Cricetulus griseus: one gene and its partner. The protein of the gene in region 1 interacts with the protein of each later gene in a biochemical or structural test. Links are inferred from orthologs where the notes say so. Each region holds a gene or a part of one and is shown in the gene's direction. Other genes may lie near its edges. The genes, in order: Ipo13 and Magoh.

The links.
Region 2: the proteins of Ipo13 (region 1) and Magoh form a complex in vitro, tested with the Homo sapiens proteins (2 studies listed by BioGRID and IntAct). The link is inferred for Cricetulus griseus from reciprocal best matches to the Homo sapiens genes IPO13 and MAGOH.

What each region holds. Positions count from the first base shown.
Region 1 is NC_048595.1:34,412,058-34,415,868, forward strand, and holds part of Ipo13 (importin-13), read left to right. Parts: coding exon 1-589; intron 590-3,811. UniProt on the Homo sapiens protein: Functions in nuclear protein import as nuclear transport receptor. Serves as receptor for nuclear localization signals (NLS) in cargo substrates.
Region 2 is NC_048595.1:41,959,198-41,963,770, reverse strand, and holds the start of Magoh (protein mago nashi homolog), read left to right. Parts: upstream 1-1,508; 5' UTR 1,509-1,603; coding exon 1,604-1,691; intron 1,692-3,781; coding exon 3,782-3,840; intron 3,841-4,573. UniProt on the Homo sapiens protein: Required for pre-mRNA splicing as component of the spliceosome. Plays a redundant role with MAGOHB as core component of the exon junction complex (EJC) and in the nonsense-mediated decay (NMD) pathway.

The sequences.
Region 1 (3,811 bases):
GGGCCAGTGCCCTGCACATCAAGATCTCTCGATATTGGAGTGACATCCCCACTGACCAGTATGAAAGCCTAAAGGCACAGCTCTTCACCCAGATTACCCGCTTTGCTAGTGGCTCCAAAATTGTGCTGACTCGGCTATGTGTGGCACTGGCCTCACTGGCTCTCAGCATGATGCCTGACGCTTGGCCATGTGTGGTGGCAGATATGGTTCGGCTCTTCCAGGCTGAGGACTCTCCGGTGGATGGCCAGGGCCGTTGTCTGGCCCTGCTAGAGTTGCTGACAGTACTGCCCGAGGAGTTCCAGACTAGCCGCTTGCCCCAGTACCGCAAAGGTCTGGTGCGGGCCAGCCTGGCTGTGGAGTGTGGGGCTGTCTTTCCACTCCTGGAGCAACTGCTACAACAGCCCAGCTCGCCCAGCTGTGTGCGTCAGAAGGTGCTCAAGTGCTTCTCCAGCTGGGTGCAGCTGGAAGTACCTCTGCAAGACTGTGAGGCGCTCATTCAGGCTGCCTTCACTGCACTGCAGGACTCAGAGCTCTTTGACAGCAGTGTGGAGGCCATTGTCAATGCCATCTCCCAGCCTGATGCCCAAAGGTGAGTTTGTCTCCAGCTTCCCACAGAGTGACACCCCACCCATCCACTGAACATTACTGCAGTGTCTGTATCCTATACTGGATACAGTGCTTTATTCTATGCTGGAGACAGAAACAAGGATACAAATGAGACATGGTCCCTGTCCTCATGGTTGAGAAAGCGGGGCAGACATCAAACAATTAATTATCTGGTAGACTGTTAAAATATTTGCCTCCTCTCTTTCCCTCAGCCATTCGCTAAGTCCTGGCTGTTCTGCTCCTGACCATATTGCAGATCGATTATTTTCAGTTTTTGCTGCCACCCTAGTCCCAGCTGTCATCATTCCCAGATTTTAGCAGAGCTTTTTCATCAGTCTCCTGCTTTTTGTCTCTTGTACCCTTCGTCATCCCAACAGTTAGAGTGACCTCTGAAAATGAGGGTCTAATCTTTCCCTTCTGACCAACAGCTTTCCTCTGTATTTAAAGTTCAGAGTCATGAATCTAACTCTTAAAGGTGCCTGCCCAAAGAGGCACACACCAACTTCATTTCATGTCACTCTCTTGACTTCCTACCTTCCTATGTTTCTAGACTGTTCTTTTCTGCTCCCTCCAACCCCTGAACAAGTGCCCGGCACATCACCTCCCCTTCACCTTAAATTTCATCTCACTTCCATAGAGAAGTTCCCAAGGGTTCTTCAGACCAACCTTTGTCTTCTCTACTGTATTCTTTCAGCACTCTTAGTAATATTCCTGGTTTTCCTTCTTAGCCTGTAATGTGATTCCTATATGAATCAATGTGCATCTCCCCATGAGCCCCTCATCTGTCGTTTTACTCTATCTCATTGTGCCTGGGAAATGGAGTATCCACCAATTTCTGAATGGATAAAAAAAATGGGAGGGTTGGAGGTAGAGGAGATTGGGTGAGGAGAGGTGCTTCTAGCTTCAGGAACCACAACAGGTACAAAGCCCCGGAGTGGCCAATGCCACAGCACATTTCAAAGGCCAGAGAGAAGGTGAAGGCAGGGAGTTGTGCATTTGTCAAACATCCATCAGGGACATGCTGTATTGGGCCAGGTGATGAGCACTTGGAGCACATAGGTGAAGGCTTTAGCTCATGTCAGCTACTCACAGAGGGATGAGCACATAAGTAGGCATCTACCGTCAGCTACCATGCAATGCTGATGGAGAGGGCAGAAGCTCTAGGAACCCAGTGGAGGCTCCTAACCCCGTCTGAGGTGTGTGAAAGCCTGCCTAAAGGAAGTGATAGCCAAACTGTACTTGGAAAGTTAGTCAGATGCTGCTGATGGATTTGGAGAGAACATTCCAGACAGATGGAAAGTACCCAGGCACGGTGAAAGATGTGAAGGAATTAGTGGTGACTTGTAAACCTTTAGGTATGATTAGATAGCAGGATTTAAAGGTCAGACTAGTAGGAGGAGGACCAGGTTCAAATCATGTGGGACCTGTTAACTAGTCTTAGATTTTTTTTTTCATCCTGGGGCTGGTATAAAGCTACTAAAGGATTTTATGCAGAGAAAATGGTCTATTGAGATTCTTTTGGGTGTAAGTAAGTTGGACTGGAAAAAACAAGACTGAAAACCTGACTCTGGCACTTCAGAGATAGGGTTCTGGGAATCTTGGGTAGACATGGAGGGGAACACCACTGAAAGCTGTGTGGAGGAGTGGCTAACAGCTCTAGCTTTGGCAATAGTTGTGTCTGAGTTTGAATTCCAGAGTTTGTTTACTAAATGTGAGAACCTTGGGTAAACCACTTCTAAGCAAGAATGGAGGCAATCATACAAAACATAAGGAGTAATTGTAATGCTAGAACAGTATGATGTATACAGGGCCAGCCCTTGGTATTGGGTAAGAGTATTTCAATTCCTTGAATGATGGCAGCTCTTTTGTGGCCTTTACTCAGGGTGGGAGATCAGCATCACATATGAGTACATATATGCTATGCATTTGCCATGTGGTTTAAATTGGGGACTGTATGTATAATATTTTTGTCCTTCTACCATTGGTGATCAAGTTTAATGGTAACATTTTTTTTTTAAAAGAGAGAAACAGAGAGCTACTGTTAAACTGATTAAAGCCTGTTGCTTTTAGAATTGGTGGTAAGAAGTAGAAACTGTTACAAACGGTGGACTAGAGTAGAGCTCTCACACAAGCACACATGCACACACAGAGGTAGTGTGTTTAATCACTGTTCTTTAAAACTCTAAAGGCTGTGGATATAGCAAGGCTCAGCAGTACAGTGCTTGCCGAACATGCATAAGCCCCTAGGTTCAATCGCACTACTAAAGACTAAAACCAAAAAGTATTGGTTGAAAACATTTTTTGGTTTGAAGGTTAAATAAAAGAACATGAGATGTTTAATGTGGTTCCCATGTACCCCATATCATCCTGTGTATTTGCTAATATTTGCTGTTATCTTTGCAGGAGCAGTTAGTAAGATACCCCTGGATCCCTAGCATAAGGTGGATACCAAGTCTCAAGTCAGAGCTCTTGTGGCAGCATGAGACTCAAGTGCTGGATGGGCTTAGGTATCAGCTAAAGACAATTATCAGGGCAATTACCAGGGTGACTCGGGGTATCCTTGGATATAGCCAAGTTTACCCACCCAGCCTGTCTCAAGGGCTTTAACAAGTAATTGATGCCCCTTCTCTTCTGAACGAATGAGCAAGCAAGAGGCCAGTGAGGGAACCCATAGCCTCCTGGGCGCCCATTGGTTGCAGCCCCTTAGTTGCTTAGCAACTCTTCCCATTTTCTCAGCTCTGCTCCCAGAGCTCTAATTGTAGGTCTGGGCTGAGCTCAGTGTGAGCGGCAGCCAAGACATCCCCAACAACTCTGCTCCAGCTGCAGGGGCTGACCACCTAGAGCCAGGCCTCTTGAAAGCAGCCTTAACCATGGTCCTAAAGACAATCTCTCAGGCTTCCTTTAGCAAGTCTAGAGACCTCTGAGGCCTCAGGCTTGTTCTGTTTGCTCAGAAGCTTCTAGCATGTGTGGTAGGAAATCTACACAGGCGATTTCCCTATGGGTGGGCTACAACAAGCCAGGAGTTGGCACTGGGGATCTGCTCTGTCCAGGCTAATTTGCTATATTTAGGTTAAGAAAGTCACCTTCAGTGACTGATTCCTGGGTAATCCAGACTCTGCCTTCCCCAGGTGTCCTGATAGTAGCAGTCTTCCCTCCAGCTCAGCTTGTTCCTGCTTCCAAGCTCTCTCCTTTGAATTTTTCCCCT
Region 2 (4,573 bases), about 7.5 Mb from region 1:
AGGTGTCTGGGAGTGGGAATCCAATGTCCACTTTAACATCCTCCCACAGTGTGTGTGTGTGTGTGTGTGTGTGTGTGTGTGTGTGTGTGTCTTAGAATCACTGTGGGTAAGGTGTCTGGGAGTGGGAATCCAATGTCCACTTTAACATCCTCCCACAGTGTGTGTGTGTGTGTGTGTGTGTGTGTGTGTGTGTGTGTGTGTGTCTTAGAATCACTGTGGGTAAGGTGTCTGGGAGTGGGAATCCAATGTCCACTTTAACATCCTCCCACAGTGTGTGTGTGTGTGTGTGTGTGTGTGTGTGTGTGTGTGTGTGTGGCTTAGAATCACTGTGGGTAAGGTATCTGGGAGTGGGAATCCAATGTCCACTTTAACATCCTCCCACAGCACCTATCCTAGACAGCAGTGAGCCTGGGAGACAGGAGAGATGAGAGGCAACTTGTGCCTAAGAGGTGACACTCTTGGAAGTTGAGGTAGGAGGGTCACAAGTGCCCCGTCAGTCTGCACCTTGCCTATAAATTGTAAAATAAGCAAACGGCAGAAGGGGATGTTGGCAGTGCAGACAAGTTCCAGGCAACGTTGTGGATTGGGGAAGGAGTCATTGAAAACGGGGGGGGGGGGCGGGGGGTGTTGTTTGTTTTTCGAGACAAGGCTTCTCTGTAGCTTTGGGGTCTGTCCTGGAACTCGCTCTGTAGACCATGCTGGCTTCTAACTCACAGACATCCACCTGCCTTAAGGATTAAAGGTGTGCACTAACACTGCTCGGGGAAAAGTTTTCTTAAAAGAGACAGCCAGAGCTGTTAAACAGAGTAACTCTGTCTGGAAAACCCAAAACAAACACACAAAAGTAAAGCGAGCCGGGCGTTGGTGGTGGCGCACGCCTTTAATCCCAGCACTCAGGAGGCAGAGGCAGGCGGATCTCTGTGAGTTCGAGACCAGCCTGGTCTACAAGAGCTAGTTCCAGGACAGCCTCCAAAGCCACAGAGAAACCCTGTCTCAAAAAAAAAAAAAAAAAAAAGTAAAGCGAACTTTTTCGAGACAGGGTCTTACAGTATGCAGCCTCTAGCCTCAACTCGTGACTCCTGGGCGGCGTTAAGCTTTTGAGTGCTAGGCCACAGCTATTCGCTACTACACTGCCCCTCAAACGCAACTCCTGATTCAGACCCTGGGGGTGGGGAAGGGGGCAGCGTGCTCAAAGATGGGGGAGCCATTTTTTGCCCATTTTACTGTGGAGACCACCTGGGTTCAGAGTGTGAATGGCCTCTTTCGTGTGTCTTTACATTGCGGTTGAGCCTGACTGGACTACAGATCGCAGGGTTGGCCCTAAGCCTATAGGTAAAGCTGCCCCGTGGAAGCCCAGGACGTAACGGAAGCGCAGGACCTCGCAAAGCACTCGATTTCCGGAAAGGAGGAGCGGTGATCCGGATCTCGCCGCAGGACGCGGGGGCGGGGTAGTCTCGTTCCCGCCTCCCAAGGGTGAAAAAACTGTTATTAACGGCGCGGTTGTGGCGTCACTTCCGCGCGCCGCCGTTACGTCAGTAGAGGGCGCAGATCGTGGTAGTGTGATCTGTTCGTAAAGTTCGGTCTTGATTGTCCCGTGTGAGCCATGGAGAGTGACTTTTACCTACGTTACTACGTGGGTCACAAAGGCAAGTTCGGTCATGAGTTCCTGGAGTTTGAATTCCGACCTGACGGTAAGAGCGGCCTCCCGCCTACAAGGAAGGGAAACGGGACCTGGGGGAGGGCGGAGAGGCCGGGCCGCGGCTTTTGTGAAGGAAGGGACTGAGACCGGAGCTCTTGGGTTGTGAAAGGCGTAGTCTTTTCTTTCGGCCTCACTGGTCCTTTCTGTCCATACGCTGGAGCTTCTCCTTAGTAACTTTTGGGTTCTTTTGGTTTTTCGAGACAGGGTTTCTCTGTGTAGCTTTGGAGCCTGTCCTGGCAGCCTACTCGCTCTGGAGACCAGGCTGGCCTCGAACTCACAGAGATCCGCCTGCCTCTGCCTCCCGAGTGCTGGGATTAAAGGCATGCACCACCAACGCCCGGCTTCTTAGTGGCTTTAAAAAGCCAGGTTGTTAACGTTTCAACAAAGATTGATTGAATGTCCATCTTACACCGGGCCGTGTTCCACTCTGGGGACAGAGCCACGAAGATAAATTTCCCCTCTCGTGGAACATGTGTTTAGGTACTGGGAGAAACCATAAACAGTGATCTCCTGTAGTGAGGAGTGATCCGAAAATAGGGTCTCTTTTTCGAGAGCACTCTGAACAGTGGGTATTTGAATTGAGCCGGAATCGAGAAGGGACCAGTCAGTTTGTGAAGCTCAGGAAGAAAAGTCTTCTATCGGAGTGGCAAATGTAGAGGTCATAGGACAGCAAAGAACCAGGCATGTTTCAGATGGCCGTTGAGGTGACTGAAGGACAGAATTCTAGGGAAACCAGTAGGAGATGATGTTAGGTGTTTGTAGACCATAAATAGGAGCAGCAGGAAACAGCTTGAAGCTTATAAGAGAAAAGGTGTGATGATCTTCAGAAAGCATCCTAGCGCTTGGACACAGAATAGACATGAGATGGCGGTCGGGACTAGGACAGCTAGGACTATAGACGTGGAGAAGACTTAGGATACTGTTGGAGACGATCTGAATGTATCTGATTGATAATATTTTGGGACGGTTGTGGTGTGGTGAGGAGGCAAGGACAATTCTACTCAAATCTTTCCCTTTTTCAGTTAGTTCTCTATAAGATGGACAAGAACATGTAGCAAGAGGCCTGTGTAATTAGATGACTGTAGTTCTCTGATACTGTCAATAACTTCCCTCTGCCTTCCTGACAAAATTCAAACCCCTTACCATGGCATACAGCCAAGCTGAGTTCCTGTCTGCCTTTTCAACCCTACAATACTCTGCCCACACTACTTTGTTTCTGCCTGCAACATCCCAAGCACTTTTTAGTTTCCAGTGTCTTTGATGTGAATTTGGTCCAAAACACCATCTTCTCTATTCTTGGTCCCTTAGCCCACACCTACACTTCACATTCTTCCTATATTCCACCCACCTAAGTCACTTTATGCATGAAACCTGCTCAGACAGTCAGACTAAATTAGATGCTTCTCCCCAAAGTTCCCTGTTTTTTTCTGCCACATGACACTATATACCCAAACTAGCCTGGTGGTTGTACTCATGCACAGAAGGACTTATGAACCAAATGTGCTCAATTTAAAAGTATGCAGAAATAGATCATACCACAAGACCACATGGGCATGTGTATGTCGCTTCCTACCGTTTTCAAAATACTTTCAGCATGTTCTCTGTGCAGGGAACTTAGCAATTATCATTTCTGTTTACAGCTGAGATCATTGACCTGCTGAAAAGCTATTTGCCAGAGTCGTAAAAGAGCCTGCCTGTGTTCTTTTGCCAAATCAAAGTAACTTTTGCCTGAACTCTATTTCAGTGTCAGGTTAGTCTTCAGCTGTTTCATAATTTAAAGTGGAGCACTGTAAAGACTAATATAATAGCTGTGAATTGGGTTGAACATTGAATATAATGCCGGCTACAGCGGTGGTTGCCCACACTTTTAGTCCCAATACTCAGGAGGCAGAGGCAGGTGGATCTCTGTAAGTTTGAGACCATTCTGGTCTACAGATCGAGTTCCAGGACAGCCAAGAGAGAGAATTGGATATAATTTAGGCAAAGTTGGTATTGTTAGTAGGCTACTGAGTTGATGTTTTGTTGTAAATTGCATTTATTTATTTATTTATTTATTTATTTATTTATTTATTTGCCCCACAGGAAAACTTCGATATGCCAACAACAGCAATTACAAAAATGATGTCATGATCAGAAAAGAGGTAGGACCCTGTCCTTCACTACCAGTGAGCCCTTTACATTGTTTCTGCGCTCTCTGGTAATAGTAATGAAAAGTAAAGAGTGGAGAAACAAATACTTCTTTTTCTTTGTTTTCTATTTGGTTTTTTGTTTTTGTTTCTCAAAACAGGGTTTCTCTGTATAGCCTTGGCCATCCTGAAACTCCCAAGCTGGGTTTGAAGGTGTGCTCCATCACACCCAGCTAAGCACTATTTCTACACGGCTAGATTATTTCTCACATCTTTGGTTTGCATGTTTTTTATTTATTTATTTATTTATTTATTTATTTATTTATTTGGATTGCTGAATTAATAACTAGCAACTTTTTGAAATCTCTGTGTTGGTTTGAACCCTCAATATGCTCCATACTGACCATGTGACCTCAGATAAGTTCCCTGGCTAAACTTGGTCACTATACTTCCATCTGCAAAATGAGGGATAATAAAACCTACCTTTTACTCCTAAGTACTATCACAGAATTAAATATATTTACAGTGTTTGATATAGTTCCTAGCATTGGGTTTGCTTCTGAAAGGGAACAGGGGTTAGTCTGGCTGTTGTGGAACTCCCTGTATAGACCAAGCTGACCTGGAACTCAGATATTTACCTGCCTCAGCCTCCCTGGAAATAAGGCATACACCTGGCATATATGTATGTTCTTTAACCCTGATTTTAAACACTTATGTGACAGAATATTCTATAAATATATATATAGGA